Linked DNA regions of Coturnix japonica. The protein of the gene in region 2 purifies or fractionates together with the protein of the main gene of each other region. This does not show direct contact. Links are inferred from orthologs where the notes say so. Each region holds a gene or a part of one and is shown on either strand. Other genes may lie near its edges.

Region 1 (4,072 bases), on a different chromosome or scaffold from region 2:
ATGTCACTTCTGGGTCTGTCTCATGGAATGACAGGTGGTGAGGCAGGAGTGGCTACCTTGGTAACATGCTTACAGTGTAGTGGGATCCAGGGACACCTGGGAGCAGTCTGAACAACAGTTTTGTTTTATTTTGTTTTCCTATAAATTGTTATGTATAGGTCTATAGGGAACTGCAAAGGAACAACTTCTAACTTAAGGGGTTGAAATAGGATTGTTTGTATTGAGAATTTTAAGGTCAGACAGTGCAGATATTTCCATAAAATGGGAATGTGAGTAGTATACAGCTTTTGACATTATGACAGTGGGTAAGACTGGAACATCTGAAGCAGTATCCTTACTAGTTAAAAATCTATTTTTTGTTTCAGAGATGTGGAAAGACAATCTCACTGCATTATTTTGCATCTTCAAAAATGTGGCACAAGCCATTCCAATGTTTGACAGTAAGATGTGAAGCGTCCAATTCACTGTGCCCTGTGCCTAACTGGTAGATTTTATGTATTTTTAAAGACTCTTCCGGAGGTTTTATTTTTAGTACTACGCAGTGTAAGTATACAAAGGCTTGTTTCAGCCATATTGACATGACTTCAAGGTATGGAGTCTGTAGACAGGGGTATTGCTGGTTGAAAGGAGAAAAACAGAGGAGGGAAGGGAAAGGAAAGGAAGAATAACAAACAGAACATTGTAAAAACAAAGCAGAGCACCCATGGGAGGTGCCAAGAGCTAAAGGTGGTGGTAATAACTCAAAATCTCACAAATAGCTGCCTAAAGCTTAGAGAACAAACGGTGCCAAACCAGATACAGAAGATGTTACACCACTCCAGATACCCAGCAATGAGATAAAGCACTGCCATTCCAGATGTTCAGGGGGAAGGCTAGGACTGCCAAGGCCTTGCAGGATGTCTGGGAACACTAGGAAACGGAGGAGAGCATGAAGGCAAACACCTGAAAAACGCAGTTTTGTTACAGCAGGCCCGGGTACAGGGCATAATGCTGGGAAGGAGCAGGCACAGCCCAGCAGACACCAGACCGGGCTCAGCGGCAGCGCTGGCAGCCTGCAGCCTCCCGCAGGGCCCGTGCCCGGAGGGGCGGCTCAGGGGCGGCGGGGGCCGGGCCGGGCGTGCGGGCGGAGCGAGCGGAGGGGGCGGGCAGCCGCAGCCGCGCCGGGCGGACGAAGCGCGGTGCGTGTGCGCGGCCCGGCCCCGGTTCATTATTCAGCGGCCGAGGAAGGAGGCGACGGGAGGTGGTATGTGCGGTGCCTGGGGTTGAGGAGGGATGGCGGTGGCGGCGGCTGGGAAGCGGGGCTGGAGCCGGGCGGGTGTGCAGGGAGCGGCAGCGCTGCGGGGGCCGGGCCTGGCCGCTTTGTTTACGTTCCAGCGCGGGGCAGCGGGCCGGCAGCGAGCGTGGCGTGGCCCTTTTCTTCCTGCGGGGTTGTCTGCGTTCGTGACCTTCCCTGCGCGCCGGGCTCCGCTGCGGCCCGGCGGTGCGGGGGCTGCTGGAGGTGCCTGGGCGGATAATGGCGGGGGCCTCTTTGTTGATGTGACAGGAGGGGCAGCAGCCTCGGCGCCGGGCTCCTCCTCTTCCCCGGGCGGGGGGCAGCAGCCCAGGCCGTGGGCAGCTCTGGCAGCCCGGCCCTCGGTGCGGGGAGGTGCGAGCGCAGCCGTGCTCAGCCACCTCTGTGCTGAACTTCCATGACCTTGCTTTCAAAACGCCTTCTGAAGCAAAAAGCACTTCCCATAACTGCTCCGATTATAGGGCTTGGGGAAGGTGGGCAATGCCTTTGATTCTTTTGCCTTTTAGTTTTTGTAATCCTTGTAAAAACAGTGAGCTCTTTGCAATTTTTCTTTGCACTTTGTTTTCTCCATGTCATTATCAGCATCCAGTTTGGCTCCTGTAGCCTGCTTTCTTATGTTCAGTGCAGTGCTTTCACCAGTGAATCCTGGCCCAGGCACTGCTGATAACCCACAGATACAAGTCCCACTCAATTGTTTAGTTCCCCCAGCTATACATGTGGCATGGCTTTGAATTTCTGTATCATGCAGAGCAGGCTTGCTGAAGTCTTTCAGACAGTCCAAAAACCTTGTGTGTTTTGGCCTATCTGATAACACAAAAGGTGCTGTACTGGTTTGTGGAAGGTGAGTTTTGCTTGCCTCCTGGGCATGTGCTTGTAGCATTTAGCAAGCTTACATTACAGCTGGCTTCTTTGTATAGGTGTGGAGACTTGGCTGTAATGGCACACAGCTGAGCTGCTGAGACACAGCCTTGTTTCTGAAGATGCCAGCAGAGGTGCTTCTAGGGCAGAAGCACATGTAGAAGCGATAATGCACCTCACTGTATCTGTATATCTGCAGATATGTTGATAGATAACTTTGAACTAGTTCAGAGTGTTATTACATGAAGAGAATCTGGGCCCAACCTGGTTAAGGATAGTATCCAAGTGAGCTCACTGATGAATTTGAGTATTCCTTCTGTATAGTGAAGGGAAGCCCTTCCTTCAGCAGTAGCAAAGAAAAATGGGTTGTATTTTGAGTAGTCTTGTTCTATGATCTCAACATGTGGGGGAAGCCATCTTGTCATTCCCCACTTGATTCAAAGATGTGTAGCATGGGCTGGTTAGATAGGAGCAGTGATCATCCCACATCAGTTTCCTTTCTTTGCTGTAGCTTTTGCTCTGTGGTCTCAGTTTCCTCCCTTGAGTTTGAGTGCCAAGAAGCTCTGATGGGAATGTCTGGTTCTGGTAGAGTGCTGCAACACACGTGATGCCTGTACAGGCATCAGGCACATTCCAGTCTGTCAGATACTGGCAGTTTTCAGGGCCAACTGGCTGAAAGTGTGACAGGAGGGAAGAATCAAACGTTTATTGACAGACATTTATTAACACAGAGCTGAATCTGTGTGAAATCGTTGCCTTAACTTTGAACGGGAATGTTAACTGTGTCCTCTGCTCTCCCAAGCTTTTTTGACCAGGGGTGCCTCCACTTCACAAGATACAATATAATCTCATGAAGTGCCGTATACTTCATGGAGACTTCTTGATCAGCGACTCGGACAAAACCCGTTTACTGCGGTACTGAATTTTGTGGTTGGGGACTACTCGTTCTAGGTAGAAGTACAGCTGCCCTTTTGTATGTGTGGCTTTTGTGTTTTAACTTCCAGTAACTGAAAGCTCATTAGGGAGCAAGGCTTTAGCTGGCTGCGTGGGAGAGCAGATGTAACAACCTTCCAAATTCTTCAGGTAAACTTGTTACATTGTTTCCCTGTTACCAAACTACCGGGAATTGACCACGTGTTTGCGTATTTCATCCATTGAAGTCATTTTCTTCCACCAATGTACCAGAACTTGTTCCTTGTGGTTTCTTTCAGCTACTAACGGGTTATCTGTTCCTTTTATATTCCCTTTGTTGTTTTGGTTTGTCCTTTCTTCCTCAACCGCCAAATTATCTGAATGGCTATTCTTTAAAAGATGCATAGAAAGTACCTGCATACATACCTCTTCCTTTCTGCAGTTTTCTCCCGTGTTCTTGATAAATGCAAATCACTTTGATAGTCTGATGAAGAGTTTAGTATTCCATGCCTTAAACTTCATTCTCTTCCTCCTCTTTACCTGTGGGAGAACGTGCTGTGTTTACAGTGTTCTTAAAAAGTGTTATTTTAATGTAATTTTTGTGTTCAAGAAAAGTTTGGATGTTGTGTTGAGGGATATGTTTTAACTGGGAAATATTGGTGTTGGTTGGACTGGATGATCTTCTAGGTCTTTTCCAACCTTGATAATTCTGTAATTCTGTTTGTTTGTTTGTTTTTTCTACTGCTTTTCATCATAGATTTTTAATAAAGACAGAATATTTTCTCTCTGTAAATGTTTTCTTCAAACAAATAAACCCTGAGTTGTTCTTCATTCAAAACCTGCAGAAACAGAAATCTGTTTATATTATGGGAAGATCTCTTGGTCCTTGAAAGCTGTTTAAAAATCAAATTGAAACTACTTGTGTAGTTTTCCTGCTGTGAAGTTCATCAGAGCACACTCGTGGATTCTAGAAAATAATCTTTACATTGCTGAATTAAGCATCCAAATATG
Region 2 (3,644 bases):
TCTCCTTCCATGTGTATCCCTGGGGATGCCCAGTGCCACTTCCCTCCATCTCAATGACTCGCTCCTCTCTGTCTCCAGCCAGAAAGGGCAGCACAACGGAGGGAAGGAGATGATGGCCAGGATGGGAATGATGGCTATGATGGGGTAGGGGAAGAAAACAGGGACCAAGGGAGCGGAGATGCGGCAGCAGCTTCCAGAAAGGGAGTTTTCTGGCTCAGTTTGTGTTTTAAGATTTTACGACTTCCTTGTTCACTTGTTTGTTTCTAGAAAAAGTGCTCCAAAGAGTTTTCTGTCCCCTTTTTGCTGCACTCAGAGGGAATGGGGGAAAATCTTTGTCGTCGACATGATCTATAGAAGGAGCCACAGGCCTCAGATATTGCTTAGAAACTCGTATTTCAGATTTAAATACCATACACAGTAAAAATAGAGCTGAAAGTACCGCCCCACATTGTCTGCAAATCATTGCCAGAATGAAACAGCTTCAATAAATTAAAAACAAAACAAAAAATTGAAATATTATTTACGTCTCAATAAAAATCGCAGTAAAACCATTTGCCTTTTTTCCTTTGTGTGTGTGTGTGTTTTCTTTATATTATATATAATATATATTTATATATGTATAGGGCTGCTCTAGTGCAGCATCTTTAGGATACTCAAGCCAGAGAAACATGGGGGCACATGCTTAGTGCACTGGGGTGTGGGGAGGGATAGGTGGGTTGCCTCTTCCTGACCTTGACAGAGTGATGCTGTGCTCTGTCCTCACGGGGCCACGTCCCTCCCCAGGCAGGAATAGGCTCTGCTCACCCTCCCAACCCCAAATGGTAATTCCTGCCCCTTCCCTTTCAAATTTTACACCCCGGATTCGAGTACAGGGCTCTGAGGACTGCTCTCCCATCACTGCTCCATGTGCAAAAGCCCAGGGTGATGTCACCAAGAGCTGGAGACTGCTAGAGTGGGAGAACCAGAGTGGGCATGAGGAGGGACACTAAGCATTCACCGTGATGTTTCCTGACTCTGGATTCGTTCCTCTTTGCTTTCATTTTGATGTGCGTGCTCCCAAAAATGCGCACGCGGGTATAAATACTCCCCACCCACCCTCCCTGCATCTCTCCCCATCTTAAATATCCCCCCACCCCTTTGCTCCAATGACCCACGATGGGTGTCAGGACACCTCGATGATCTCCATGCTGCCAGAAAAGCTTGACTGTTTGCCTATTTTGCCCAGCTCCTCCCGGGACCTGCCCTCAGACATGGTCTCCTCGAACTCCATCTGGCAGCTCCTCCTCTTGAACTGCTTCTCTGCGCCGGCTTCCTCATGCCAGCTGTGCCTCCCATCCCGGGCCTCAGCCCGCTGCTTGTCCCTCAGTCTGATCTCGCAGCCTCCTGGCATCCCATTGCAACTAAATGGGGGGTATGGACTGGTGCCACTGAACAGCGTCCCACCGCCGGTGCCACTGCCACCACTACTGGCTGAGTCTGTGCTGAAGTACCATCCTCCCTCAGAGGATGGGGTGCTGGGGGACTCGAGGTGGACGTTCCCCCAGGAGCCATTGGAGGCCTGTGGTGGGCCAGGCAGGCTGAGCCTTGGCTGGAGGCTGTCCTCTGCCCCAGGGCTCTTGCGGGCAGAGCTGATATTGAGGCTGAGGCCATGGGCTGGTGAGCCAGCTTGGTGCCTGTGCTTGCGTCGCTGTCTCACCTTGGCCTCCAGCAGGAGGTCTGGCCCACTGGGCCGGTCAGGGCTATCGGGCACTGGGGAGAACTGGCCACTGGGAGCTGATGGGCTGTCCAACTTGCAGAGCTTGGGGGCCTCCCCAGTGCTGGGTAGGCCTGGGGGGTCCTGCCGCAGGCCGGGGGAGTAGGCGGACTTGATGTCCAGGGAGAAGGAGCGTTTCAAGCGGTTGGTGTCCTGGATGCGCTCCGAGGAAAGGTGCAAGCCATTGAGTCCCTGCTGCAGTGCCGTGGGTGACAAGACTTTGGGTGGCCCACCTTGCCTTTCAGGGTCACTGGGTGGGGGTGCAGAGGTTGTGCTTCTTGGTACGTCCTCAACCTTCTCTGAGGTAGACGGTGTGGGATGCCTGCCAGCCTCGGATGCCTCGGTTGTGTCCTGAGGAGCTTCTCCCTCACCCCGGTCGCCCTGGGCCTTCAGGGCCTTTAGGAGCTTTAGGCTCCTCTCATACTCCAGGAGCTGGCCCAGGAAGTTGAAGTTGGGTGAGATCGATGGGCGACGGTCCTTAACAAACCTGCCAAGAGGTACAGACAACCCTGATTGGTGTTCAGTCCTTCAGTAAGTCACCCTCTAATCTCTTTGTCTCTTTAGGAGAAGAGACATTATCCAAAACCCTCTGAAGAAAGTGGTTGGGGGCTCCCCGACTGAAGCTGGGGATGCTCAGATTCTGGGGGTTTTGCCACACACCATTTTACTGCTCCCACCATTGCATGCACTACGTGAAGGACTGGTTTGGTTTGGTTTTGTTTCACCACCACTCAGCCAAGGCAAGACTTCAAGGAGCAACCACTCCCTTCTTCTGGGCTCAGACTGCTTTCCTTCTGTGGGTTCAGGCACACCAGTACAACCCCTCCCTGTCCTCTGGTGAATGCTCACCTGTAAGCATCGTCAGATGACATGCCCATGGTCTTCATGATGTATGCAATAGCGATTGTGGCAGAGCGGGATATCCCTGCCAAGCAGTGCACAATCACTTGGCAGCTGGACACCTTAGCTTTGTCTGGAGCATGGTAGAGAAAACAGAGAGAAAACACTGATGTGATCACAGACATTGTGCAAAATGATTCTAGACTCTTCCCCCAGCCCTCAGCTCCTGTGTGTGAAAGAAGAAGAGCTGCTGGGAATAGGCCTGAGGAAGACAGAAAAAGAGTCCAGATTTTGAGGGCTAACTGATGGACCTGTAATTATTGTAATGAAAGCTCACCAATAAATTCAATGGATTTATCCAACCAGGGAAGTAGCTTCTCACAGTAGTTGTCATTGACAGGAATGCGCATGAAGTGACTATCACAGATGAAGTCTGGCTTGGGACAGGAGTTGCTGGCGTTGAGGACATAGCTTATCCCATTCTGTGTCATCAAATCCTGTTGGTAGAGAAGGAATGGAAGGATCGGCTGAGTTATGTGCCTCTCCACACAATCCTTGCTGTTAGCCATCCCAATATTTGCTCCTATAGGTCTTCTGCTGGCTCCTTGGCCCAAATGGTCAACCAGCTGATGCTACCTAACTGATGCTCATCACAGACTGGCTGGGAGAGATGTGCCCATTTACATAGTACAGGCTTGTAATTCAGCAGATCTTTACTTTGGTACCTCAGCATGACCAAAGAATCCTGGAAAGGTATTCCATATGGGAAAGTAAGAAAGAAAACCTATGAAAAGTCTCACAGAAAGTTTAGAAAGTATCCACTGAGAGAGGACTGATATCTCACCAACCAAGTTGGTTATCAGTAGTACTCCATGCTAACCAATGTCAACTCAGTTTTTTACTTCCAACCAACACTGAAAAGCACTGGGAGTTCTTACAGTCTTATTAGTTGTTCACAGTTCTTCACTAAACTGTGCTGCATTTTAGCCTACAAGAGGCTCATGTGAACCACTCATTTCAGGCTTTTGTGACTTAAAACATCCTCTTGAGA

Evidence for each region. The genes of interacting proteins can lie anywhere in the genome.
Region 1: the proteins of DUSP8 (region 2) and MAPK8 purify together in Homo sapiens (affinity purification with mass spectrometry; 3 studies listed by BioGRID and IntAct, counting the BioPlex papers as one, with this or other methods). This does not show direct contact. The link is inferred for Coturnix japonica from reciprocal best matches to the Homo sapiens genes DUSP8 and MAPK8.

Annotation. Positions count from the first base shown.
Region 1 is NC_029521.1:15,676,765-15,680,836, forward strand, and holds the start of MAPK8 (mitogen-activated protein kinase 8), read left to right. Parts: upstream 1-1,132; 5' UTR 1,133-1,243; intron 1,244-4,072. UniProt on the Homo sapiens protein: Serine/threonine-protein kinase involved in various processes such as cell proliferation, differentiation, migration, transformation and programmed cell death.
Region 2 is NC_029520.1:10,373,598-10,377,241, forward strand, and holds part of DUSP8 (dual specificity protein phosphatase 8), read right to left. Parts: intron 3,091-3,644; coding exon 2,931-3,090; intron 2,727-2,930; coding exon 2,603-2,726; intron 2,241-2,602; coding exon 1,163-2,240; 3' UTR 1-1,162. UniProt on the Homo sapiens protein: Has phosphatase activity with synthetic phosphatase substrates and negatively regulates mitogen-activated protein kinase activity, presumably by catalysing their dephosphorylation.